Linked DNA regions of Medicago truncatula. The protein of the gene in region 4 interacts with the protein of the main gene of each other region in a pairwise test. Links are inferred from orthologs where the notes say so. Each region holds a gene or a part of one and is shown on either strand. Other genes may lie near its edges.

The links.
Region 1: the proteins of transcription factor TCP4 (region 4) and transcription factor TGA9 interact in binary tests that used the Arabidopsis thaliana proteins (3 or more experiments, as listed by UniProt). The link is inferred for Medicago truncatula from reciprocal best matches to the Arabidopsis thaliana genes TCP4 and TGA9.
Region 2: the proteins of transcription factor TCP4 (region 4) and basic leucine zipper 43 interact in binary tests that used the Arabidopsis thaliana proteins (3 or more experiments, as listed by UniProt). The link is inferred for Medicago truncatula from reciprocal best matches to the Arabidopsis thaliana genes TCP4 and bZIP43.
Region 3: the proteins of transcription factor TCP4 (region 4) and axial regulator YABBY 4 interact in binary tests that used the Arabidopsis thaliana proteins (3 or more experiments, as listed by UniProt). The link is inferred for Medicago truncatula from reciprocal best matches to the Arabidopsis thaliana genes TCP4 and INO.

The regions. Positions count from the first base shown.
Region 1 is NC_053043.1:42,414,977-42,422,914, reverse strand, and holds the start of transcription factor TGA9, read right to left. Parts: upstream 3,017-7,938; 5' UTR 2,711-3,016; intron 2,615-2,710; 5' UTR 2,584-2,614; coding exon 2,468-2,583; intron 2,391-2,467; coding exon 2,302-2,390; intron 1,928-2,301; coding exon 1,848-1,927; intron 1,631-1,847; coding exon 1,379-1,630; intron 1,070-1,378; exon of another isoform or gene 955-1,069; coding exon of another isoform or gene 856-954; intron 645-855; coding exon 600-644; intron 500-599; coding exon 440-499; intron 333-439; coding exon 255-332; intron 155-254; coding exon 106-154; intron 1-105. UniProt on the Arabidopsis thaliana protein: Together with TGA10, basic leucine-zipper transcription factor required for anther development, probably via the activation of SPL expression in anthers and via the regulation of genes with functions in early and middle tapetal development.
Region 2 is NC_053048.1:6,000,256-6,006,320, reverse strand, and holds basic leucine zipper 43, read right to left. Parts: upstream 1,393-6,065; 5' UTR 1,275-1,392; coding exon 699-1,274; 3' UTR 503-698; downstream 1-502. UniProt on the Arabidopsis thaliana protein: Probable transcription factor involved in somatic embryogenesis. Acts as a positive regulator of BHLH109.
Region 3 is NC_053046.1:14,608,720-14,615,748, forward strand, and holds axial regulator YABBY 4, read left to right. Parts: upstream 1-4,365; 5' UTR 4,366-4,456; coding exon 4,457-4,537; intron 4,538-4,658; coding exon 4,659-4,793; intron 4,794-4,908; coding exon 4,909-5,038; intron 5,039-5,144; coding exon 5,145-5,193; intron 5,194-5,283; coding exon 5,284-5,359; intron 5,360-5,514; coding exon 5,515-5,619; intron 5,620-6,254; coding exon 6,255-6,332; 3' UTR 6,333-6,528; downstream 6,529-7,029. UniProt on the Arabidopsis thaliana protein: Essential for the formation and the abaxial-adaxial asymmetric growth of the ovule outer integument.
Region 4 is NC_053049.1:24,584,047-24,591,924, reverse strand, and holds transcription factor TCP4, read right to left. Parts: upstream 3,029-7,878; 5' UTR 2,061-3,028; coding exon 759-2,060; 3' UTR 725-758; intron 622-724; 3' UTR 174-621; downstream 1-173. UniProt on the Arabidopsis thaliana protein: Transcription factor playing a pivotal role in the control of morphogenesis of shoot organs by negatively regulating the expression of boundary-specific genes such as CUC genes, probably through the induction of miRNA (e.g. miR164).

The DNA.
Region 1 (7,938 bases), on a different chromosome or scaffold from region 4:
ATATATACTTCCAAAAAAAAAAATTAAATTATAGTAAATGATGGTAAGTTTCTGAATGTGACAAATTAGAAAATACACATAATTTCATATGAAAAATAAACTCACCAGAGCTTATATTGCCTCCAACACCACCACTCCAATCCATGAACATACCCTAATTTTAAATTAACATTTATGTAATAATTAATCAATAAAAGTAAAAAATAATAATAAAAATAAACTATATATTATATAACAATATTTGACTTTAGTACCTGAGAGCGTGCTCTTTGAAGGTCTTGTTCCAATTGTGTAAGCTTTAATCTACTTGACTCAAGTTGTTGCACATAAGCCTATAGAAAAATTCAATTCAATGAGTAAGTTTCATACTTTCATTTTTACATTTTTCTACAACTTTTGTGTATCTATATGTATATGTATATGTATAGGACACACAAACCTTTTTCCTTAGACGACTTTTCCTTGCAGCCTCCCTGTTTTGTGCTAAACGTCTCAATGTCTAAAACAAGTACAAATTTTTTACCTTAGCATATAAAACATCAACATGAAAAAAAAGACATAATAAAAATGAACATTTGTACTTAAATATAAACAAACACCTTTGCATCAAGTGGCTTATCTGATGTTGAACCAGCTCCTTTTTTCTACAACAAAAGAAATTATCCATATATAAGTTTTATTTAATTAAAAGCAAAACAGAAAGACATACACAAATATTTCAAGTGTAGAACAAAAATGCATGGTTAAGCAAATGAGTGAGGGAAAAATAGAAAATTTGTTAAGCATATAAAAATGCTACACTTTTAATTCAATGAAGAACAAAAAGATGGCATGATAATATTAAAGTGTGCTCACTGAATTTTGAGAATGTTGAAGTCCATTTGACCATTTTTCAGTAGGAATGCAATCATCTTCAATGTGATATGGATAGCAAAATGGATCATTTTCAGCCATTTTTTGTGAACTGTTTCTTTAGACTTGTGTTAGAGAAACACAAGTTTTCACTATATCAAGTGAAGAGTGTGTGAGAATGAGTCACTTTTTAATGCGAAAAAAAACTTTGATAAGTACTCAAAAGATTCTCACTTTGTTTTTTTGTTAGTACAACATAATACTACTAGTATCCTTCTCTCTCTCTCTCTCTATCATGTTTTCATGTCAGAAAATCGTTCAGGAATCAGGAAAACTCTCTGTTGTTTTGATTTTCTGAAATCTGTTGGGATCTGTGCTGTTTTTACGTGACCAAGAAGATAGTACAAATTCAAAACAGTAAATAAAGAAAGACCAAACTTTCCCTTAGTTTATGGGATATGGAAACAGATAACTAAGTGATTTAACACTTTAACAGTATCAGTGATTATTTTTTTTTACTATTAACCTTTTCTTTGGCTGCTGCTGATATTTGATTCTGTGATGAAGAGGCTGTTCTTATAGCAGCAGAAGCATCATTGGATATTATCATCTTCTGTTGTTGTAGCTGAAGATTCTGCTGATCCATATTATTATTATGATCTGATGAAAAAGAAGATGCTTTTTTACTACTTAAGGGTGATTCTGGCTCAAAAGGGTTCTCATTTTTGCTTGATAGTGCTGAATCACTGCTTTCACCTCCTGATTTGTTACCACCTCCCTGTATTTCCAAATACAAATCATTAGTATATTCAAATATATAATTTAATCGGCTCATATCGTCGCATGCATTATTTTAAACGAATCGATGCGACAAGGGCTGAAAAACAATGACAAAAAAGCATGCATTCTATTTGAAATTGAATTGAACATTATATAAGAAGCATCTATGATAAGCATAATTAAAATAGATTGGTCAAAGATAGAGAGAGTATTACTACTGTTGAGGTTTGATGGAATCTCATTGGCCAAGAAGGGAACATTTCCAGTGTAGCAGCAGGTCTGGCTGTGAAAAAAGCTGCAAAGAATCATGAAAGAAAAAATCTGAGAGGATCAACCAAAATAAAAGGCTTTAAATTTTTTACCAAAATAATTGTAAAAGGTATTGAAGAAAAGAAGAACCTAATCTATTAACTTTATATTTCAGCAGTTATGGAGTCAGTAAAAATCATGCAAAAGGGAAGTGAGGTTTCCAAGTTTGTAACCCCACACCTTCCCATGTCTATTGCCTCAGAATCATTATGGTATTGGAAATGGTAACTATGCACTCTTTAGACATATTCAAACCTTTGCTTTTTTTCTTTCTTTCCCTCTACTTTTAGAAAGAGTTGGTTATGCTTATCTAAGGTCAGAAAAAAAGTGGTATTTGATAGAAAAAAAAGCAAAACTTACATGCTTTTGTTTCATCATTTCCATTCTTAACTCCTTGCAAAACAATTGCTTCTTCTAGCTCCCCAAAATCAAAACCAGATTCTTCATTCCTAACAAACAAACAAAAACATTATACTAAATTAAATACTATACAAACCAAAATGAATAAAACAGTACTGTCTCATACATTAAGCTTGATGAAGGATTATTATTATTAATCCTATGATGAATTCCATAAGGGACATGATGAGTTGAATGTCCTGTCTCAGAAAAATCAAGTTCTCCTATTCTTTGGCTCGCCATGCATAAATATTCTTTAGACCATTCTCATATCCTATAAAGCAAAATTCAATTCACATAAACAAACAAAATATAATCATATGGTATATAGTTTGTGCATACTTATATATGATGTCATTTGTGTAATTACCTTATAAGAATGATCAATAATTAGAATTGTATAAAGAGAAGCAAAGAAAGATCAAAGCTTATTGTTGTCAAAGTAATAATATCTAATATAATCTAAAGTTGTAGGCTGTGACAGAAAGAGGGTCCAGTCTTTTTCTTCAGATATGATCCTCTTTGCAACTTTCTATCTTTTATAAGGGGGGTGTCTATATCAATTTCTTTTCTCCTTCTCTATGAAGAAACCTTATTGATTAGTCTGTTTCACACACTGTCCTTAGTTGAATGAATATATTGAATTAAGAAAAAACTCACACAATATATTGTCCCAGAAAAAATTGTCTCAGGCTCATTTTTTAGACTTGTGGGGTTCAAAGGTGGCTCAAATAAAATATAAAAAAAATTGAATAAAACAAAAAAAAAAAAATTGTTTTTTCTTATTTATTATAAAATTGAACAGGTGGGGCCTATTACAGGAACCCACTAGAATCATTGACTCCTACTCCACTCTTCTATCTCTCTTGTAACCGCCTGAATTTTCTTATTGGTTCTTTTGTTGTGGGGCTATATATATGTACTTGTAAGAAATCAAATAAAACAAAGTATAGTAAAAAATGAAGAACTCATGCATTTTTGATCTTGGAAATGGGAACACAATAAATTCAGTATGAGTTCAAGTTGAGTTTTCTTTCTTATTGAAGTTGGCAAAAAATAGAAAGATAAAGTTGATTTTGTTACACATAGAAACAAAATATTTAGGCTCATACCGTTTCAACCAAAACATTATATACTAGTAGAATATAATAAACATAACCACTTTGTGTATTTAATCTTAGCTCTGAGATGGATTTGTTTGGTATTATCCCCTTTGTTGATGGGTCAACATCCACTCTCTGTCTTCACCTAAACCATGCCACGTTAAGATTCGTTTCTCCTTATAGAAATGCAAATCTTGTTGCAGATAGCAATATGTAGTACATATGGTAATCATCAAATACCAATACTTAGCAATTTCATTTCATTTTCCATCACTAATCTAATATGTAGTTTGTATATGACTATTTTTATCCTAGTTAAATCTCTAAACTTTATCTAATAGGAGTAGGAGTGGGCATGGTTTGGTTTATGATGAAAACTAAATCGAATCGAATTATTTGTTAAATTTAAATTAACTGAACTGAACCGAATTATGAACTATTTGTTAAAATTAAAATAACTGAACTGAATCGAACTATTTGCATTTTGAACTGAATTGAACTGTTTCAAACTGAATTGAATTGTTTCGAATCGAACGGAACTGTTATTATTGGTACCATTAAAAAAAATATATAAAAAAATCAAACGAAATTAAATTTTAGTTACCAAACTGAATCGAACTGAATTGTTTTGAACCGAACCGAACTGTTTCTGTTCAGTTTCAGAATTGTTAGTAATGACTCAATTTTTTTTTGTTTGGTTCGGTTCAGTTCAGCCGTTCGAATTGATTTTTTGGTTTTTTTCCCACCCTTCAACATGAGTACAGACATATATTATTCTTATTGATTAATTTTGTCCATTTATTTATGTCTGTTTTACAAAAATTAATAAAACATTAATGTCTTCTTCTTCTATTATACTACCATTTGCTATTTATTAATTTTTTTCTTTTCTAATTCTTTTAATATATTCTATTAATAAAGAGCGATTTTGTTAAATAAGTCATAATTTTTCTTTCTCATTCAAAACTAGTTACATTTTTAAATATAGATATTAAAATGACATATATTTTGAGACGGTAGAAGTATTCTTTAATCACACTAATCCGTCAACTTCAGACTAGCCTATTGAATGCTATGACATACTATAAATTATGAATGTCAAAGTTGATTATTTCCTCAATTTCAAAGTGTATCGATATATTGTAACCAAAAAAAGTCTATCAATATAAATTATAATTTTTTGGACCAATATTATTGACCACATAAAAATGTGTAACATATCCAAGGCATAAAAAGAAAGGACAGACAGAAAGAGTAGAAGGATAAAGGAGACTTTTTATGTAATGGACCCATGATCCATATCATAAAGTAAAAAACAATATTTTATACTTGTGGTCATCTAATACCTATTGCAGGTGTAATATGCCTCCTACCAATTATTCCTTTATGATGCCAATCATTGGTCTTAAAATATATGGTTTGGCTCAAAAAATATAAACACTCCAATGGGTTAGGTCAATATATTTTTAAAGTACATATTTTTATTTGCATAAATAATATACATGAATATATACCTTTGTCTCCAATATACCTTACAACTTCTCATTGATGTGGGGGTGTCTTTGAGAAGATTTTATAGCTTTAGACAATTTAGGTCATTCCTTCCTTGAATGTTTCACTCCCTTGAGCCGTAATTCTTTGAGGTCTCTTGTTTTACCTATCTAGAAAGGTGATTGGTCTGAATCAAATCCCAAAATTAATTATTCTTTTGTTGATTATGTTAAACTTATTAATATGTTAAGTCATTACGTGTCGACAAAGTGTGTAACTAAAAGTGCAATTTTTTTATTAATTTTTTTTACTAGGGTGGTCATAGGTGGACCAGTTTGCATCTTGGTCTAAATTCACATCGAGAGTAACGTTGAGCAGTTGTGAGTTGTGACCATTTTCTATAGGTGAATGGTCATTTGCAGATCAAGCAGAGATGTCATGTATAGGAGTTTTTCTTAAAGGATGTCACGTATAGGAGGTAACATTGCATTAACAATTCATATTTATTGACAAAAATCAATGATTGGCCATGGACCCATGATGCCAGGAGACAATGTAGTTTCTAAAGTTGTACTAGTATTGGTCACACTGCTTATTAGTGGGAATTTGACAAATTCCCTCACTCAAACCTATATAAATCAGTCGTTAATTAAATATCAGTAAGTTAGATGATTAGCATAAGAGGAGTTCAAAGTTGGTTTAAGATGTTCATTAATACCTATGGAAACAAGTTGGTTTTTGTTTAAAGTGGGCGGGAAAAAAATGATGTTTAAATTGGAGGGAAAAAAGTGCAAATACCTTTATAAACACGCTTTAGATCGGGTACCATCCCTTTACCTTAATTTTTTATTCAAAATAAAAATTGGTTTTTGCTTTAAAGTAGAAGTGCTTTCATCTATAATATTTGCAAAAGAAAAGCAGGTACCTCTTAAGTGTATGATTCTCTACGACATGACTCTTCATTGATCCAGGTAGATCATACTAGCATGTGGACGCCTTGTTGGAACTTATTTGTAATAGTGGAATAAAGATATAGAGGATTGTGCGTCATCCCGGTTCAAAACAGTAGCCACAAGTCATTGGCTTTTGGCTTGAGACGAGGTCTTTGTAGCATTCAAAAATCCGAAGTAACCTTCATGCAATTTTTTGGTGCTAACAGAATGTGGTGAGTTTTAATCCGGGTGATATTTATCTTCGAATGTCCCGGGTGTAACTTGGAGGTAACACATGATGCGACCTTTTGTTTCAGCAATGTCTCAAGATTTGTTTGTGATAATTGCACTTTTAAATCCACGTTCTTTGAGTTGCCCTTTAGTTGATGCATGTGTCTTCTTTGGAAAAGACCATGCAAGAGAAAATGCTCTTTGAGAAGGATAAATTGAACAAGAGCGGCCTCGAGATTTTTTCTGAAGATATGATATGTGGGATCCTACGACCCCTATGTGCTTCCTTATGAGAGGGAAAAATAAGTGTCGACTCCTCATCTGATTGAGTTAAAGTATTATTTGAACAATGGTTACGCCGAGAATGAGATGTGTTAGTTTAGTGAGTCTTTGAGAATTATTTATTAAAAGTTTAATTTATCAGGAATTGTTTTCAGTATTTTTTATTTCTTCTTTTCCTTTTGCCTCCCTAATAGATTCATCCAAACTCAGGATGGGGTTCGTACATGGCTACGAGTCATTGTGCCAATACATGGGGGATTACACCTTGATTTTTCTATTATGTTACCTATTCTGGATTGAGAGTAGAAATATTTTAGGAAATGAATGCGTGTACTTTTTCAAACATGGGAGTAAAATCTTTAAGCTCCCGACATATTCTCTCAAAGACAAATATTATCAAATTCGGAAGGTTTCAACGAATGCAAAGAAGATGACTTGCATCTATCGCGAATCAACGGATGAAGAGGGTGGTCTAATTCAGGTGCCCTTAGCCAATTTTTTGTTATGTTGAATTGATGTTTATTGGAAAAGGCCATGCAAGAGAAAATGCTCTTTGAGAAGGATAAATTGAATGAGAGGGGTCTCAAGATTTTTTTCGAAGATATGATATGTGGGATCCTACGACCCCCATGTGCTTCCTTCTAAGAGGGGAAAAATAGCGTCGACTCCTCACCTGATTGAGTTAAAGTATTATCTGAACAAGGGTTATGCCGAGAATGAGATGTGTTAGTTTAGTGAGTCTTTGAGAACCATTTATTAAAAGTTTAAGCTACCATTAATTGTTTTTAGTATTTTTTTTTTTATTTCTTCTTTTCCTTTTGCCTCCCTAATAGATTCATCCAAACTCAGGACGGGGTTCAGACTTGGCTACGAGTCATGATAGATATTTGGCAAGTGAACCAAAACTATCGAAGTAATAAATAAATTCGTATCCACGAGGACCGTTGTTAACTTCTACTCTGCAATTTCTTTATCAAAAAAGATGTATTAAATTCAAAGTTGCCCTAGGAAGTTAGATTGGTATTTGTAAAATAAACGGATTAAAAACAATAAAAGTTTGGTTTTAGAAAATTAGAGAGATGTATGGTTAAGACCTTTGAATCCTCCGAAGTTCTCATATGGTAATTTGCACTCCTAATTCAAGCAATGATTATCTAATTTAACGATAGATTAACAAAGTAATTCTACCCAATCTCTTGACCTAGAATTCTCCCTGCAAGTGACAACTCCTTAATCTCTTAAGTGAATTAATTTGAAACTGTTGGAGGTATTAACAGAACGTTAATCCCTGTGTCATAGCCTAATAATGATCTATCTCTAGCTTGATTACTTAGGTTAAACTTATTACCTAGATCAAAGTCAAAAGCCAGGGTTAGTGGTCATTCAATCTCTAAGATCGATTTGCATATTCATAAAGCTAGGGTTAGTAGTCGATGATAAACACAAAAAGCATTAAACATAAAGTAATATGAATTAAAACTAGACTTTCATTGATATTCAAATGAGTTCAACAAACTAGGGTTCCCATAGGATTACATCAGATTCATCTCAAGCTTAAC
Region 2 (6,065 bases), on a different chromosome or scaffold from region 4:
TTATTTCATGGTTGAGCATAGGTGGTTGGACTAAAACTGTCATTTCTGTGCGTTTCTGGAGTTGGAAATAGGGAGATAGGACTAAAACTGCAAAAAACATATAGTTTAGGAACGATTTTGTTCGATTTAAAAAAGATATGACCATTTTCGTGAGTTGGTCAAAATGATAGGACCAAAAGTGTAATTAAAAAAAGGTATACATAATCTACTTTTTCTCCTTATCTATTCTGATTTCTTTAGTTATTGGGATTCAATAGAGTCGCGAATCAAGTCTTTTTTAATTGTTCTCTGGATGGAAATCATGATAGTGTTTTAAAATATTCAGAGTGTGACCAACAATTAATTAACCAGAAGGTTTATGAATTATTTATTTGGATTTCTATCCTTAGCCATTTTAAATGTTATTGTTTAGAAGAAATCATTAGAACTTTAAAAACTACACCATTTATAGACAAATAGGAAATTGCATAGTTTTTTTTTTTTGGGTACAAAGAGGAAGTAGTAAAGTTAATGAGCATAAACTTAAAATAAAGATACTCAAATTAAACAAAACATGTTATTGCCTTTCATGGTTTCACCTCATAGAACTCAAAAAAACAGAAGAACTAAAAGATGAAAAATTGAAGAGTTATTAAAACTTGCTCTTGTGACTCTTATCTTCAAATTTACCCTAACAAATCAACAGAACTTGTGATTTATTAGTTTGAAGAATCAGATTTAACATTTGGTGAAGTGATGCTAGGAACATCTTCAAGAGGACTCAAAGGAAGACAAGAACTATGTAACTGCATATCACACACCATTTGTCGAAGTTCCGAAGCTTGTTCTTTCAATTGAACATTCTCTTGGACAACTTTATCATGAGTCTCACAGAAATTGTTGAGCTTATCTAGTAATTGATGATTTTCATTCCTTAGCCAAACAACTTGTGACCAAAGCTCATCAAGCTGTTTTTGTTTCCTCATTCGCGACCGGCGTGCTGACTCTCGGTTCGATACCATTCTTCGATGTTTTCTTTCGTTGATTAGACCTAGGTTTTGTTCGTCCGCTTCGTCGGAAGTTGAGTTGCTGCTTATGCATGAGGATGGAGGACTGAAGTCTTGGAGAATTTGAATAGGGTTTTGGTTGAAACCATAGAATTGGTTGGAGAGTTTTGGATGTTGAGGTGTTTGGATGGTGTTTTGGATCATGTTATAGTTACATGGTGGATAGGGAGATGGATCTGAATATGGGAGTAAATAATTGAGTCCTGTATTAATCTCTTTGGTTTGCATGGTGGAATAATGAATATAAGATTGTGAGGATTTGAAGCAAAAATTGTTGGAGTATGGAATTTAATTTGATTTGGAGATGGATGGAAAATGAGTGGGACTAGTTAGTATATATAGGGAGGGAAAATGGTGAAATGGCCCTATGGAAAGTAACAAGATGTCAATGTAGAGTAGATCATTGCACTCATGTCATCTTTCTATATATGCAATTAATATTATGTTAGATCTATGTAGCACTTACACATGGAAGATGTATTTAGTATCTGTCACATGTGATTACATTTAATTACTTTTATTTTCATAAGTTATTGTTGATGTTTGTGTATGTGTCTACTATTCATGTTTGTGTAAGTGTAGAATTACTTTGTTTGTGAGCGTCTCTGTGTCCCATGAATTTAGACTCTTCTGACAATCTTAATATGTCATTAATGACATTTATTTAGTGGATCATAATCATCTTCATTTTTCGAAAGAAATAGAGAACTCTATTTGAAGAAGAAAAAAAAACACAAATGAATTGAAGAATAAAATTTTTTTTTTTTTTTGAAGGATAATTGAAGAATAAAAATTGTTTAATATATTATCTATATTTTGTGTCTTTTAAATGAATCCATCCAAACTATCATTTTGGTATTTTAAAAATGATGGATTACTTTATTTTGGCTTAAAAGAGATAGCTTTTAAGCTCAAAACTCTTTTGATCATTTTTAATAAAGTTTTTGAAAAGCTAAATAGGCTAATCCAATCAAGCAAATTAAACATAGCTTCTTTATTCATGTACATGTATAATAACATCCATTATGTGGGATCAGGTTTTGCTGCTTTAAAAACAACACGCAGTTTTACATAATTTTTTATCTCAGCCGTTCATCTTAGATAGAACGGTTGAGATTGAAAACTGTGTATTTTTAATTAAAACGATTTCTACCATCCAACTGTGATCGGACGACTATCACTAATTACAACACCATGCTATAACAACACGGAATCCTATTCCCATTATGTGGGGCCTTAGGTTCATTGAACAAGCTAGATGGATGAATAAGATGTTACACATACATATAGATAAACACATCCACAACACAAGTGACACAAACGTGTGGGGGAGGCAACTTGGTTTAATGGATAATCATTTTTGGACAAAAAATATGCTTACATCAGATAAACTTATACAAAAGTAGTTCATATAATGGGGAGTATAATAATTCAATTGGAAGACTGTTTAGGCTAAAGTAGGTGCAGGAGAAAAAATGGTGTTCAATTGAAGTCAATTTATTTTATATGAACGTGCGTAGTGTGTTATTTCTAAGATGATTCTCTTTTAGATAATGGACCTGTTTACTTAAATGACATAAGCTAATTGGATGAAAAAGAATATTGAAGAAGGCATGATATCAGCTATGTTTCTAATTATAAATATATTTTGGTAAAAACATTTTTGCTTAGGCATTTTAGTAAAAATAAAATGCGTCCCTCAAATTATTAGATATATTTATTATTATTTTTTAAATATACTCCTTATTATTGTTAATATGATACGGTTAATTTGTATTGGAAGATGAAAAATCATAATTGGATGCATTTATAAACCCTACTACTTTTCTTTATCTATTTGAAAATTACCAATATTATATTAGTCTAGGTGGAACTAGACTCAAATCTTTTAAGTAAGGTCTTGAATTCGAGTTGTGTGAATGAAAAAATGTGGTTGGGAGAGAGACTTTGCTAAAGAAGGTTAGTCAGATTTTTCAACTGAAGTTATTCGATATTTCGCAACAATAACATAGTTATAAAAAAATTCATGTGAAAATTAAAAAAGGAACTTATGAAAAGTCAACAACGCTGAAACTATTTAAGAAAAATTTAGCGCTCTATTGTGATCTGATCCAACTTGAACGATTAATCTCTGCAATTATATGCGAGGATATACCTAATGTACACTAAAGTGGGGATGGAAGTAGTAGTTTCAAAGAGCAAGAAAGAGTGAAAAGTTTATGAATTTGGTGACTCAAAAACCACTCAAGTATATAGATGCAGGGACCTCCAAAAACAATATATAAAATATGGAACTAGAAGCCAAATCTTGATTTGATCAGCAGCCACTTATGTTAATTTTTAAATATGGTTAGGTAGTAATCATTTATTTTAGTAATGACAGTTTCAACAGTAATCTCAAGGTAAAAAAAATAGGTAAATCATTAGTTAGTTACTTCCACGCCTATATTATGTGAAACAGATGGGTGTATGCTGTGTTCATTGTACACAGCTGTTAAAAAGTAAAAATAGTTGTGTACGTACTTGCCCAAAACTAGCTTGGTGACTTATACGTGTATAGTGTAAGCCATTCAAAAAAAGTTATATGATCACTATTTGCATTAACCTCTAAAATAGAAACTTGCATAAGCAACTTTTATATGTTATGAAACACAATCACCTCAAGCATGTGATGACAGGCACGAGTCGAAGTTCAACACTCGTATGATATGTGTCAGAAATTTCAGACTGATGTTCTAAAATATTTGTTTTATTTTGCTTTAACACTCTTTAGATCGGTGTTCAAACCCGTATGATATGTCTCGCTCAAACTAAGTCAAGTATCCAAAAGAAAATAAAAATACCCATTGCTTCAACACATCTAATACCGTCTTTGAACACATCTCAAACACATCTAGAAGAGTTAAAGATGTGTTGAAGCTATGTTTGATCAAATAGAGGTTAAATATATTAAGTGAGATTACAACCTTATTAATTTTTTCGATAACAGATGGATAAATAAATGTTATATATTATTATATTTTGTTTTTTAATAAAATAAATTGCTCAATTTACATGCAGTTGTACATAATTTGATCTCAATTTAGATATTCTATAAACAATATTAATATTTTATTTAATTATAATAAATTAATTAATATATGTGTAGCGGTGTCGGTGTTCTAAGTTTTTTACATTAACAGTGTTGATGTGTCAGTGTCCGTGTTTAATAAGTTATATGTGTGTGATCTATTTAACTAGTGTTACTTATTAGATGCAGAAAGTAAAAACAATTAATAATAAGATATAGTATGAAACTTTAGAAGAGAGTTTTTGCTATGTTTCTATGTTCAGTCATAGGTGCTAGGTATGTCACACTTTTTAGTCCTAGGTGCTAAGTATGAGAATTTTTCAACCGAAGGCACATGCCCCTCTAACGTGGGATGGCATGCCTCGCGCGCTACTTCAATGTTTGCACTCTCGGGGGGCGCAACAACACCCCCAAGGGGCACGAGTAGCCTTAGGCAACGCATTTTTGCCGTTTTCTTTGATCTTTCTGTGTGTTTTCTTCCTTGAAACTTGTCTCGTAACTTGGAATATAATTTCTTCTCTTTGCAATGTCTTTCGAGACCTCTTGAATCATCATCCATTATCTTCCCAAACCCTCTTGAGATGCTTTGCTTTGCCGATTTGTATGATTTTACATTGAATTACATCAAAACACCTAAGAACTGCTTGGTTTGGGAACGCTTTAAGGTCTTGCAGGGTTGTAACATGACTTAGGTTAAGGTGGGATATTTTTTTGAGAGTCGGCTAATCAAACAACTTTGAGTTAGATTTTCAACCTACGGATTCCTACTAAATATTGAAGTATTACCAATCTTCCTTCCTTAAACCGAAATTGTTGAACCATAATGAGTTTTATAAATGCCTCATAAGTTTTGATGATTACAAAGTATAAAAGAACAATTGGATATGCTAATGTGTGTTCAAATGTGTAGGACATTAAAATTAAATTCTAACTCTTAAGTCAAGTTTAGGTTCTGAAACATCAAGGATTTGAACACATAAGATAGAATTTGAACCAAATAGAGAAGCTACTATGACTTGAAACAAGATCTAAAGAAAGGTCAACTAGAAAGTCAACATCTTGTTCATAAGAGAATTTTCATTCAAAATCATTTGAAGGAAAGAAGACTCTGATTGATCAGGGATTTGAGAATCAAGGAATTTGAAGAATTAGGATCAATGGTTATTAGAACGTAAAGACAATACAAGTTGGAGAAATTTCATCTTACGTTTCAAGCCATTTGAAGACGGGAAGAACGCTTGAAAAAGGACGAAAAACTACATAATTCCCCCCTTATCGTCGTTAAACATATGAATAAAAAACCTAATCTTCCTTGATATTGAACTGATTGATCAGGCAACCAAGACTTGGAAAGCTCATCTTCTGGCTTTCCTGTTTGATCTGCATACCACTCAATATACCCCTTTTACCACAAGTTACAACTAACACCTTGGTATGGAAAGGAGAAAAGAATGGCAAGTATTTTGTATGCAGCGCTTACCGAATTTGTGCTTAAAACATTGGAGACACTTCTCACCTTCAAAGGCCGGGACATTGGAATTTTATTTGGAATATCAAATCTCCGTTAAAGGTGAAAAATCTGATTTTAACGGTATGTTATGATTGTTTCCCTACTTATGCACGCCTTATCAGTAGAGGAGTTGCTTGCCCCATTGATTGTGTTATCAGTAACGAGGGTATTGAAGATACCATACATGCTCTCTTTACTTGTCTCTAGTATGTTCAGGAATGGCATACAACAAACTTACGAGTTGATACTAAACAAATTTTGAGCGAACATGATAATACAAAGGCGATTGTGCTTAAATTACTACATCACCTTCACCCGTCACAAATGTTCTCTCTTTGAAACTGTTTTTTGTAGCTTAAGGAAATGTCAGAATTTAAAAAGTATGGTAACACATTGATGAAACAACATCAGAAGTTGTTGAGTGTGGTACACATATGTT
Region 3 (7,029 bases), on a different chromosome or scaffold from region 4:
AAACCAACAACCTTTTTGTCAACTCCATTACATCACAACTTAACATTAATTTTTTTGAATGGACACTGCAATTTAACTAAATCTAATTGAGGCCAAATAGTATACAACCTCTTTAATTTTATCTTTATAATCCAATCCAAATAGTATGCATCTGACAAAGTAAGGTGCATGCATTGACAACTGAGTAGTTGGAAACTTTTGATTCATTTTGAATTGACAACAGTGACACCTCAATGTGTCACTCTACAAGGTTTAATGATCTGAAATTTGACTCACCAATTTTAGTTCAAACTTCAAAAAACTTTCAAATATTTTTAGTCACTTTCCATGAGGTTGAACTACTACATCTCACAATTATGAGATAGTCTATTCAATTCTGATATGTGCCTTAAAAGCTAACTCAATTTACTCTTTCTCATTTTAGTAATTCATGCCATGAAATCGGTGCATACCTTTGCACTTTATAGTTTTCTCAGGTTCATGTACATAGCAAAAGTTTCAGTGAGTCAAAGACACCAAGGCATTCCTATTGTGAAATAACAGATTGGAATTGAGGTGTATATATGGTAATATATATTGAAAGAAGACAAATTTTATTTCTTTTAGAGCATGAGCAAAATTTGCTATCTTTGGATAGAATGATGCTACCATGTATCTGCGAAAAAGCTTCTTATATTTCCCTTTGATTCTCAAAGATAATATAAAAACATTCTCCTTTTTACTAAATATAAGATTTCTTTGCAGAAAAAGTGCTTATAAATATAAGCAATATCCTCTAAACAAAAATATAATATAAGTCACATTTTTAAATGGGAAATGTTAAGTATATTAAAATAAACAAAAGAAAAATAGTTCTTGGGATACTAGACAAAAACCCAAAAATCAAAGATGTGCCAATACAATTGCCTCCCAAAAACTTTAGAAAATCCAGTGAGATAAAACATTGGTGAAGAGAAAAAGAGTGCGTCATAACAAAAGCAAGCAAAAATAAAAACATATGAACGAAATCTAAAACAAAGAAGATTCTGACGATTAAGAAATAAATTCTCCTTTGATCGTGTATTTTCTTATAGGTCTATGATTAAGATAATTTATTTTTTCTTTCTACTTTTGAATTACATATTTCAAGTTGCGATTGAACCGATTCCATAGGTTTCTTATGTATCCATAGGTATTATTTGGATAAAAAGGTTCATTCTCTTTGTAAAAAAAGGAGGTAGAACCGATAAAGATTTCTTTTTTTATTTATCTCCAGAATTGACTACCTCATTTACGAATTGTTTAATACAACGAGATAGCGAATCTCACCAAGTAAAATTAGATAGAGAGAATACATTATTGACTATGTGATCAACACAATTGTTTTCTTGTTTGAAAATGTGGCTAACTCTTGTGAGTTGTGATATATACACAATATATTTCATGATAATCATGACCTTATATAAGCTTATTCAAATAAAGAGGAAATCACTTTGATTTTGACAAATATCATATTCACCCTAATATTGCTGTTTTTTCAGGAAAATCAGAGCCCAATAATTTTCATAAGAATTGTATCATTATGTGATTTTGCAATTTCCATGAAAGTGATTTCCAAAACTCCTCTAACGAGTTATAAATAAGCTCTAAAGTAGGAGTGGTTATAATTAATGCACAAGGGAACAAACACACAATCTTTTAGGGCTGTGACAAAATTTTCAAAACAGAAAAGTCCAAAATAAACAATGGAGAGGGAGCTTACAAATAAATGAGATTATAATTGCAAGAAGCCAATAACATCTTTATCTTTATAATAGGCTACAAAAATTGACTTAAAAATAATAATGCAGCAATAAGAGAGGTATATTCACGGTTTTTGATTCCTACCTACCTCACAACTTTCGTTCATTTTGTTTGTGGGACATAGCTATTTATCATAACACGTAAAGAAGTTTCACAAATGTGGTTCTTTGTGAGAGAAAAACTTAGTCCTAGTCACCCTATAAAGTAGGCCCTAGGTTTATAGGAATAAGATTGCAAATGTTAGTTGTTTGCATTAAAGAAGCAAGGGCAATTTTCATATTATAAACCCCACCCCCCTTTAATTCAATGACCTCATGCAACAAAATCTAATCCACTTTAAGATATGTTAGAAGCTAAACCTCTTTGTCAATCTTATAACACAAGGAAATGATGGACTAATTCCTTCGCTTGAATTATCATTCTCTTTTATTTCTCAAGGAAACTAGGGACTAATTTGAAGGATTAATAATAATTTAGGGATTATTTAATATATTTTTATAGTTTGTGGATTAAGTTGACAAAAGTGTGATAATATAGGGATCAAATTGATGGTTTATTCCATAAAAGATAGAGCGTTGCTTGCACTTTTTCTAAAAACAATTGAATTGATCAGTAACTCTTTAAAACACAAGAAATATAAAAGACATTTTTAACTCTGCCTAGCAGCGCAGTTTGTTGTCGGCTTGCCTTCTATTCATGTGTACGGAATTCTTAATATATATAAAAAAAAAAACTATCAATAAAAGGATCGGCTGATTCACAAAATATATTTTCATAAATCATATATAATCAAAGAACTTTTGCTCTTGGTTTTCATATTTTGTTGAATGAATATTATTGACCCTCCAAAATCTAACTCATGGGCAATCACATGGGAGAGAGTTAAGGAAACAACAGAAATAGGTTTTGAATGATATGGATAATACATGGTTAATGCAGAATCCTATAACTCAAATGTGAAGCAAAAATAGATGAGAAGTGACACATGCCTAAAGAGAGCACAGAAAGTGGGGAGGATCCTTTTTTTCATTGGTCAATTTGTTTTGCTGTCTTTCATGAAAGACAAATCCTAATAAGATGCTTCTTTACCTTCTCCTACGTGCCCTTGTGGAAACTTACACCTCTTTCTATTATAGAAAAAATTTCTGCACTTTCATTTTCTTCTAGGACAGAGAAAAGGCTTGGAGAGTTATAAGTGTCAATAAAAGAGAAAACAACACATGAAACAAACAAGTACTTTAACTCATTCTGCGAAGTACCATAGAACTTTGAGCCACTGCAACCAATGGAGAAGTTTGCCAGTTATTATAATAATAACATTCAACCAAATAGGTGAAATTAACATAAACTCTCTTCTCAAGGGTGTGATTGTAATTTTACTCCTAAATTTGTTAAGAGCCCTAATTTGAATGAGCTTATGGGAGGACCTACGTTATGGTATGGTCTGACTATAGCAACACTAGTCCAACTCAAATTTATTTTAAAAAATATTAAACTTTTACAATAGTAGGAGTTCAACGCTAGATTTAATGAAGAGAGTATTGAATTTTTACAATGTGTTGTATGCTTGAGTCAAGTATCATTATTTATAACTTTTGATATGTACAATTTATTAAGAATGATTGAGCTTTATCAAAATGATTTTATGGACGTGCTGGAAGTGGTGGTGCACCATTAGTTTCAGAATTATGTTAGAAATGTTCGAGGTGGCCTCAATTTTACAAAGTTGAAAGGACTTTCAGACCTTTGTGCAAAGTTTGTAAAAATAAACAAGTGCACTGCATTTGATGTGGTGTATAATCTTATGAAATTAGCTTTGGTTTTTCCAGTGGCAACTGCAAGTGTTGACCGTGTTTTATGAGTTATGAAATATGTTAAGAGTGTAACTATCTAAAAACATGAATGATTAATAGTTTTTTTTTTTTTTGAGAGAATGAATGGTTAATAGTTAAATGATCGTATTGTAACTTTTATAGATGAAGGTGTTATTTTAGCTCATTTTCATCAAATGGGTGATAGACTATTTTCTTTGTAAATTTAATTGTTACTTACTACTAATACATAAGTGTTTGTTATTTTTAGTATAATTTACTTTGCCAAAAATTTTAGCCTCACTAACAATTTATTCTTGGGTTCGTCCGTGAATGAGCTAAGGCTTGAAAAACATGTTTATAGTATCCCAAATTCTAATATGGCATCGGAGTCTATCCAAAATTCACCAGGCCACTTATTATTAGGTCACCGCTACCAAATCACCCGAGTTACGCTTCAGACGTCCTGTTGTCGGTGTGAGGAGTGTGTATTAAGAGTGCACATTGGATAAGATAAAGTCTAAAAATGAGTTTATAAGCGGTGGACAATCGTCACCTGTGGATATGGGTAGTCGTCACCTTACAAGCCGGTTTTGTAGGATTAGTAGACCTCAAAAATAAAAAATACAAACAAACCACGTACATCCTTAGCAATGTTGGAGTGGTTTCCGGGAATGAAAATCAGCATTATCTCAAAAATCATTAAAGTGAGAAGATGATTGATTATGAGTGTTCAACTTCAACTATAAATGCTTCATTGTGTCAAAAGAGTTACATTACATCTTCATATCTTATATCCCTTATTTCTCTTCCTTTTCTCTTCACACCAACACCGACTCACCTAGCTACACATTAACACACTCATGTCAACACTAAACCATCTTTTTGATCTTCCGGAACAAATATGCTATGTACAATGTGGATTCTGCAATACCATTTTAATGGTAACCATGAGTTTTCTAATTGCACTTCTTAAGTTCATGATATTTACTTTCAATACCTATTTTTTGTTTTCATTTTCTTCTTTTGTTTTTTAACTGTTTTCATTTCAATTGTGTGATGCAGGTAAGTGTTCCATGCAGCAGTTTGACAATGGTGGTGACAGTAAGATGTGGTCACTGCACAAGTCTCTTATCTGTTAACATGATGAAAGCTTCTTTTGTCCCTTTCCACCTTTTAGCATCTCTTACTCATCTTGAGGTCATAAGTTAAAGTCACATTTCCAATACTTTGTTTATTTTCTTATAGTTAGGTATTTGTATTATATACTAGATATTAACTTAAAAAACTATTTGTGAATATTTTCACTATGCAGCAAAAAGAAAGTAGTAGTCCAGATGAAGATGCAAACAAGACTTTGAACAGTAATACTAGTGCATCCATGATGACTTATTCTGATTGTGAGGAAGATGATGTAATTCCAATCAGCAATGTTGTCAACAAACGTATGTAACAAGAAGATAACTTATTGAGTTTGAAGCAAGTTTAGTATATAGTATATACAATAAAAAAAAATTATTTATTTGATGAATGAATCATTGTTCTATGCAGCACCAGAGAAGAGACAAAGAACACCATCAGCTTATAACCGCTTCATCAAGTAATTAATATGTCACATTAACAAAAGTTACACTTATCATAAACTTGTAAATTTTTTAATTCTAATATTTTGAGTATAATTTTAATGCAGAGAAGAGATTAAAAGGCTAAAGGCTAAAAACCCTGATATGGCTCACAAGGAAGCTTTTAGTACAGCTGCAAAAAATGTAAGGTCTAATTTTCAAAATCACATGATTATATATTGCAGAACCATGTTCAAAACTAACTAGCTATTAGTTCCACTCATTTAAAACTATAGGAAATTTTATAAGATTGGTGAATTATTCATAATCTTGGATTTTTTTTTTATATATATTTTCAGTGGGCTAATTGCCCCCCAACTCAGTGCAAAGGAGATGAAGAGAGCTGTAGCCAGACAGATCAATTTGTGGATCTTGACTCCCAAGTGGACCCCAATGAAGCAGAGGTAAAAACATAATTATTTGAAGATTAATTATCTAAGTTGTTTTCTTATAATTCACATTTAAGAATTATTTTAGCTTATTAAAACTTGCTATAAGTAGGAGATTCTTTAGGTTTGGCACTGTGTGCATTTATAGTGGTACTTGTCCCTTTCTTTATATCACATGGTGAATAGTAAAGGTATAGTCCATGCATTCAATGGTAAAGACTTTATACCCTCATGTTGTTGGTTTCCATTCACCATGACATTGATCCACCAAACTAGAAACTTCTTGCAGATTCTAAATACATTATATTATATTATTGACTGTCAAAAATTACCAAGAATTATAAACTAATATATATATATAGTTTTAAATATAAGTCAAAATTAGTCAAAAAATTTTATGTATTATGTACTAGAAGCAATGAGTCAACAAGAGTACATTTGAATAAGAGAGGCTAAAGTAGCAATATGACACTTCAATAAATAAATAAATACGTACAACAGGATAATACTAATATAAAATGACACAAAATAATCTTGTTATGTCTAGCAAGTCACTTTCATGACATGTAATTTCCATAGAAAACCCTACCTGTTTTTGTAATCTAGCAGTACTTGACAATTTTAATGACTGCATCAATATCACTTTTCAGGTGAATGAAGAAGAACAAGGATTCCGTGGAAGAAAGGTACCAAGAAATTCCATCTTGGAAAGGACACCATTTGAGTGAATGAATGAATAAGAAAGCTCACTCTTCTGCATATATGACAAGGAAGAAAGCTGCATGCATCTAATGAAGTCATTTTCCTTCTGAAAAAAAGAGATGCTCTTGTCTTGGTAATGAAACATGAATTAAGTAGGTTCAATCTAGAGATAACAATTTGTGACACTTTAGAGTTTGTTTAATAATTGACTATTTTATCTGACACCTTTTATCTGTTATCAACTCCATGAATTAGTAGTATTCAGGGTCAAAGAAATGTTTACCAAGTTCTCATGTCTTAAACTATAATAAGAAATTATAATTACAAAAAAAAGAAAAACTATAATAAGAAATTAAATATAAGCCAAACCTCTACAATCATTTTGACTAGAAAAAAAAAATTAAGAGACCGTCCAGGGTTGTTATAAGTGAAGGCCATATATCTCTTAAACAAATTTTGGTTTCAAGTCTTGTGGTTTGGAAAAAATGTAATTGAGAGAGGAGACTTCATTAGTGGTCCGTCAAGTATTCCCTCATATTTTAATCATAAATAAAATTGATAAATACTTTTTTAAAAAGGATAAGTTGATGATTACTTCGCATCAATAACATACTTACTAAACAATCAAAAATGTGTGGGGCTATATTTAATTTATTTATTTTTAGCAAATTACACATGAATAAATAGTAAAAATAGAAAGATTTTTTTAAAAGAACATATATG
Region 4 (7,878 bases):
ACCTATCCTCATTTGTAACAAAGACAGCATTAACCATATATACCAACAACCAAAGCCAAAATCATACACAAGTTTGAATATGCAAAATTTATATGTCGGGTTATTTGGGTTTACTACCTTTTTCGTGACAAGGAGAAAATGCTTCATTCTGCAACTGGGGTTTTACACCAAGATGGAAATAAACAACAACTTTTGAGCAAGCTAGCTCAGTTATTTAATCTGCATGTTTTTTTCCAAATTACTAGTCGAAACTAGAAATGGAACAAGTTCTAATTAAGAAAACACAACACAACTACTACAAATTGAAATCCAAGGACACAAATGAAGCAAATTAGACACAAACATAAACATAGTAGTACTCTTAGTCCTAGTTAAAGCTTGAAAAACAAAAGATAAATTGTAGTACAAAACCGGGGGACTGAAATTGATAAATCTGAATGAATAAATCAAACCAGATTTTCTTCATTCCCACACGGTATATATATATATATATAAGCCATTGAATTGAAGTTGAAACATCTGAAAAATCCAAACCCAAGTTGCTTTTGAATTCCAATTGTAGCTCTTTCAAAACCAAAAGCTCTCTCCCAAAAAAGACCGTCTGCAACGCAAACCGTGAACCTGAAAAAACAGTCAAAACACAATAAAAAGAAAAAATTGCAGTAAGAATAAAACAGAGAGAAACTCAATTGAAATTTTAAGAACTGGGTATTGAAGGTAGAACCTGAAAGTTTGGATTATTTTTATCAGTGTTCCAATCAATGGCGAGAGTCGGAGGAAGCAGAGGACGGTTTATCGGATACGCCGTCGTGTTCCTCTTCACCCTGAATTCGTGCTGGTATACGAAAGCCTGAGAATCCACCACCAGAGACAGAAGCCTGATGGATCATCGGCGAAAGATAGTGATGATGGTGATCAACGATATTCGCCGTCGCCATTGAAGGATCTATCCAAGCACGAACTGAAGGATTGTAACTGGACTGAAGGGGTCCCCTCTGAGTAAAAAACTGACCATAACCGCCAAACGCCGGTGCCGGTGTACTGAACACAAATCCAGCACCATGGCCACTGTTACCACCATCTGCAGCATTAGCATTAATATTATTAGCATTCCAAGCCATCATTCTATTCAATCTGCCGTTATCATGTTCCTCTTGATGCTGCTGCTGTTGTTGCTGCTCAGACCACAAGGTGCTTCCACTTCCACCACCGTCGTAACCAAGGGAGGAGTTTCCGGCGAAAAGCACTTGGTTATTGTTATTGTGGTGGTGGTGGTGGTTGTCATGGTGGCTCTGAAGCATAATAGGATCTTGAAAAGATTGCAATGAGAGACGGAGATCTTGCTGCTGGGTGGTTGCCGCCGTTCGAGAGAGTAAATCCGGCGGTTGTTGATAATTGTGAAAAGATGTGGTGGGCGTTTCAACTGGGAAAAAAGACTTAATAGTATCCGCAATGTCAGTGTCTAACGAGCCTTGAAGAAAACCATGTTTCCCACTGCTACTACTGTTGTAGTCTATCTCCAACTGTTGTTGTTGGGAAGGAAATTGTTGTTCGTGTGGTGGCATTCTTCGCTCTAATGCCGCTGAGCGGTGACTGGTAGAAGCGGTTACTGGATTGTTGTCCACCGGAGATTGCCGGTGAAACATTTCATTTGTTTGCTGCTGCTGCTGCTGTTGTGGTGTTGAAGAACATGTAGCTGTGGGGTTCCAAGCGGGGAGGTGAGCGAGTTCGTCGATAGCAGATTTAGCTTTTTTAATGAGCCAATCGACTGCTTTACTTGGCCGGTCGTAGCCGAGACGATCTTGCACGTCGTAGAATTGAATCGCAGTGTGGGCTGAGAGTCGTACACGGCGGTCACGGGGACCTTTCGCGGTGCAAACTTTACTGTGACGGTCTTTCCGTCCTGTTGAACGGACAATGTGACCTCCTTGTACCTCCACGATTTCTCCTCCTCCTCCGCTGCTGCTGATTCTCTTCGACGAGGTTGTTGCTGCTGTTTTTGTTGTTGTAGCTGTTGCTGTTGCTGTTCCTGTGTGCTGGTCGTGTATTGTTTCTCCCATCTTTCTTGCATATTCGATGGAAGAGAAAGATAATGATGTTGGTGGATTAGGGTGTGGTAGTGGTGGAAGAAAAGAAGACCGTTTTTTTGGTGGTTCAAGTGACTCTGGTTGTGGTTCTAAATCTAGATATTGTTGGGGTGGTTGAAAGTACTGGTGATGAAAATGAAAGGTTGGGTCTTGGTGTTGGTGTTGGTGTTGGTCATGATAGTGAGGATGATGCAGGGGTTTTTCAGATGAGGGAGATGAATTTTGTTCATCATTTTCTTCTTCTTCATTATCCCTTACATAACTTGAATTTAGAACAGAGTTATGGTGATGAGGGTCTTGTTGGTTTTGTTGATAAAGAGGATGATTATGATAATTTGTTCTGGGGGGATCCAGACTCAGACCCTTGTTCTGCTTATCTTCTTCCAGCTTTCAACAGAACAACACTACTACTAAATCAATGGTTTTGTTTCCTTTTCTCACACTCTAGTTGCAACTGCCACCACTTCAATTTTCCCATTTCCATCATCACCACCAAACCCAAGAATGCTTTAACAGTTTTGAGCCTAACCCATTCCTCTATCTGTCTCTCTCTAAGTCTGTACCACTTTTTGCCTTTTTTGCAAGTTGAATGAAGTGTGATACCAGTGTTATTGTTGCATTAATTAATGAATGAAAGTAGAAGAGAGCAGAATGAGTTGGTTAATACCCACTTGTAGAGGACGAGAAAGAGGTGTCCTGTTGTGAAAAATCCAGCAAATTTTCCATATCTCAACACACAGGAAGACAAGAGAAGGAAAGAAGAGAGAGAGATAACAGTAAATTAAGGGTATAGGGAAGAGGAATTCATTCTGGCCCTATAAGAAAGAGGCTTTTGATGATGATGGCAGTGACAAAGGGTGGCAGTGTTTGGTCAGAATGGACGTCCGTTTTATTTCATCACTGCTCTTCTGCTAGTTTTCTTGTACTCTACTTACATATTACCACCAACCTATCCAATTTTCATTCATTTACCTTTCACCAATTTACTTTCCTTCCATTTTCCCTCTTTTCTTTTCCTATTTTTTTGCTTTTAATTTCCCTCCATTCCTTGTTATATTATTTTTATTGAGAGATTAGTCATTTAGCTCCTGAATAGAATATGAGGCGCCACTTTAGTCCTTGAATGCAGATAAATTGTAAAATAATCCTTAAATATAGATTTTGTTAATCAATTTAGTCTCTGAATGCAGATTTCGTTAGCCTATTTAGTTCCTGAATGTAGATTCCGTTAATCACTTTAGTCCCTAAAATTGACCAATAGAGTCTACATTCAAGGACTATTTTACAATTTCTCAGCATTCAGAGACTAAATAGATTAATTCACCTATTTTTATTATTGGTAATTGGGAGTTTAACTTGCTTGTTACAAGTTAAAACTTTATTATTATTTCAAAAAGACAAGGGTGGATGTCTTTGTTGGAGGGATAGATCCTTTATATGCTACCACCACACCTTTTGAAAGGGACACCATCACAGCTTTTTTGGCCTTCTCTCTCTATCTTTACCCCTTTTATCATTTAAAAGAAACTACGCAGTAACATAGATCGCTGAATTTACTTCTTCCTCGAAACTACTTTACTTCTATCTGGTTTGTGAAATTACTGTATACGTCATCTTGGAGGCTTCCCTTCTCTTCCTTTTCTGAAAGGAACATTGTCTGCCTAAGTTTTTGCATGGTTGTCCTATTCTCTGCAAAGTCAAATTGTTTCTTTATGTTTGGTCAATCACTGTCTTAAGGATGTTATTTAAAAAACTAAACAAAAAATCGAGTTGAAAATACAAGTTAAATGGAATCTAAAGGGGTGAGTGGCGACGATGGATGGTCGGATATCGTTTTTACAATGGTCGTTTTTGTTAAGGAGTCTGTTTTATATGGTGACCTATATTTTGGTGGGTGTCGTCATTATGGGTGTTTTTAGGATGTTTATTTTGCATGTTCAGCCTATATATGACACATTTTATTTGTATTCTCATCGGTCTTTATTTCGTCTTGAGCAGCGATCTGGTTATTTAATAAAATTTGGTGATTTAAAAAAAAAAATACAAGTTAAATATATAAGGCAACTATACAATTTTTAATATAAAAGGAACTACTTCTACACAATTTTCTAATATAAGAGGTAGAACATCCACAATGATAATCGATTAATATGGACTTCTTAAATGGACTCTACATGTATAATTTTTTAAGAGAGAGACAGATATAAAAAATTATATATGTAGGGTCTAAATAGATCCCACCAATAACTATTTATTTAATACATTGTTATCTATTTTATAATATTAAATCGATTAAAATATAAAGTTACAAAATTTATATCAACGGTAGTTTATTAAAAAATTGAAAAATAATTAATAATAATATTGCCAAATATTAAGAATTACAATTTTTTTCAAAAGGATGATAAAATTACATAATTAAAACAATAACTAATTATTTGGTTTGGATTCATTATCCAAAATAATATAACGACACAGTGATTTTAATTATGAGTAAATAGGATAAGAATGGATGAATAATTTTTAGGGACTTTGAGAAAATGAGAGCAAAAATGAAAAGCCAACGATACACTGTGGTAGCATTATGGAAGTTAACTGAGCCATTTCAGTGAGCCATTTCCTGAAAAAAAAAGTATCTTAAAGATAATTGAGTCATTTCACTTTTCAATACAATATTAATTATTTTTTTCTCTTTATAACTCTGGTTAAAACTATTTTCATCATTTTCAATTCAATATATTCCACTTTACATTTATGATAGTGGAAAATGCACTAATATTTAACAAGTACACTTAAAATTATTTTTCTCTCTCCTTCATTTATACATTTTTCTTAATACTTGTGAAATGAGCTTTTGACTCGGTTAATCCGGGACGGAGGGAGTATATATTAGAGAAAACAAGAATGAAAATTGCAATTGAAAAGCAACAAAATCAACTCAAATAATAATTATTTTATTAAAAACTGGTGTGGGGTCCACTCAGGGGCGGTTCTAAGGCCCGGCAACCCCGGGCACTCGCCCGGGCTCCGGGCCAAATTTTTTGTAATTTCTTGTGTAAATCCCTATGAATTTCTTATATAAACCCCTATAAATTGGGCAATTTCTTTACATTTTTTATTATTTGCTTGCAATTTCTTATGTACGCCCTATAAATGTGTTGCAATTTTTTTTTTGCCCGGGCTTTACAATATTCCTGGCTCCGCCACTGGGTCCACTTAAGATGGTGGTATTAAGTGAGACTATGTGACTTAAGAGACCCTCAATTTTATTTTTCTACATTGAGTGTACCTATTAGATACCGGATCATAAATGGTAAAGACCCTACCAATGTGGTTGCTCTAAGGACTCCAATGAGTATTTAAGTAGGTCTCACTAACTTTACATCATTATACAAAAATTATTTATTTATTCGTATGAACTTAAATTGCTGCAACATTTTAATAATTTGAAAATACAAAAATTAACATTACAAATTTTACATTCCGTCGTTAAAAATAAAATAAAATAAATAATAATAATAATAATAATAATAATAATAATAATAATAATAATAATAATAATAATAATAATAATAATAATAGTAATAACAATAATAGTTTACTACTTTTTTTGTGGTGATCATGGTTACTACTTTTAATATTTTTTTATGGTGGCTGGAGCTTCAACCTCGATTCTTACATATATTATGCATTATTTTTATTAACTGAATTAATCTCACTAATACACTAATTTTCTTTTTCTTTTTTTGTTGGCTTAAATGCTCTTTTGGTCCCTTAAGTATTTAATTGGTATCACTTTGGTCCCTTAACTAAAAAAAAATTGTTTGAGTATTTTAAGTTTTTTAATAGTCTCGTTTTGGTCCCTTATGTTAGGTTTAATAAAAAACGTTAAGTGTGGACACGTGTTGTAACACTCCTATTTCTATTAAAGCAATTAAACATGCGAATAATGCATTTATTTAAGAAATAAAGGCTACGTCACATACAAATTTCAAAACCAATAAACATAAACATGTATATAAACTTCAACAGTCGCAGCGGAATATAAACCAGAGTGATCCAAATATACATGTCATGAATCAATAATCACATCAACATAAATGCATCTCAAAAATCTCAACATACGGGTAATCTCCAAACATAACAAAAGTCCAACAAAAGCTAATCTAGACTGACACAATGAAGCCTAGATCAGAGCCGACTAAACACTAAACACCGATATTGGAGAAAGCTCCCGATATCCACCAAGCACAAAAGTCACCAAGCACTACTCTTGCACAACGTCTACCCATCCATACAGACAGATAGGCGGTTAAAACCACTGGGGGTAAGTATTACATCATCATAAACAAAATAACAGTTAACATGAAAATTCAATATAAACATCATGCACTTGATCAATAATATTCACATAACAATGCTTACATCACACCCCAATATCTCACATCAATATTCATCAATCACATGTATCATGAACAAATATCAATTCACAATTATTCATACACAATCACCAATCACATACATCATGAACAATCCTCAATCATATTTCACGAACAATCACCAATCACATTTATCAATAAGACTCATGTCATGATATGCACCTATTGACACATATATGCATGTGGTACCAATCTCCTCAAGGTCGTCACCCATATCCAGACCACCAAGGGTCTCTGCAAGACCGAAGTTCACAAACTAGATCTCAAAATATCTCTACTAGGTCGGAGCACAATAAGGAATAAAACATCGTAACTAGATCTAAAAAGATCTATGCAAGGCCGGAGCCCAATAATGAATAAAACATCATATAAAATTTTAACACGACTATGATGCATGGACATGTACAAGGACTTGATAATGCGACAATAATCCATAATTTTCACCTCAATATATAGGACGACACCCAATTATATTGATTACCTCCACAACATTGCATTATTAAGAAAACATGCCCATACACAATTAATTCATAGTATTCATCATCTCACATCAACATGATTATCAATAATCAAAAAATGTCATTCAACATCAACTATCACATGTGGTTTCACCATTCAAGCATTCCTTACATACTAGGTAAGATAGCATACACCTCTCATGATAAACATCATATCCAATACAATCATTCATTCATACAACTTCACTTAGTCATATAAAAATGGTCACAACAATTCATAAGACAATTGGCTCAAGAAAACATTTCCGACCAAAAACCATATCAAGTGGTCACCGACCAACATTGACAAATCCCAAAGCAAAACGACATAGACAACTTGAAAACCTTCAAACAATCTTAATCGACAATGTATTCATGAATTTAAGTTGCCTCCGGGTCATTGGACATTAACCCAAGAACAACTTAAGTTCGTATGAGAAACCCAACTTCACATTTTCCACAATCCCACCCGAAAATCAAGTTTGACATGATTAAGATATTGTACTAACCTTACAAGCATTGCCTAAGCCCATAAGAACTGTAGACTAAGCTTGCAACCCCTTTTTGTTCATAAAAACCAAGTTTCGACAATTTCCAGAAAACCGAAAACGACACAATTACAAGCTTCAAACTATTTGGAAAATTAAAGTTTCAACAAAGTTAAATGTGTTCCAGTAGAAAAGTAGGTGAAAACAGCAAAAGAACACTTCAAAACGATCGCCTAGGGCCCCTACACGACCACCCCCAAGCACCTGGACACGGAGCAACAAGCATGTTGCCCTGTCCAGGGCGCCTGGTGCTGGCAGTGGGGCGCCCAGTGCTGGCTTACTGACTTGTGGGCGCCCATCGCCTTTG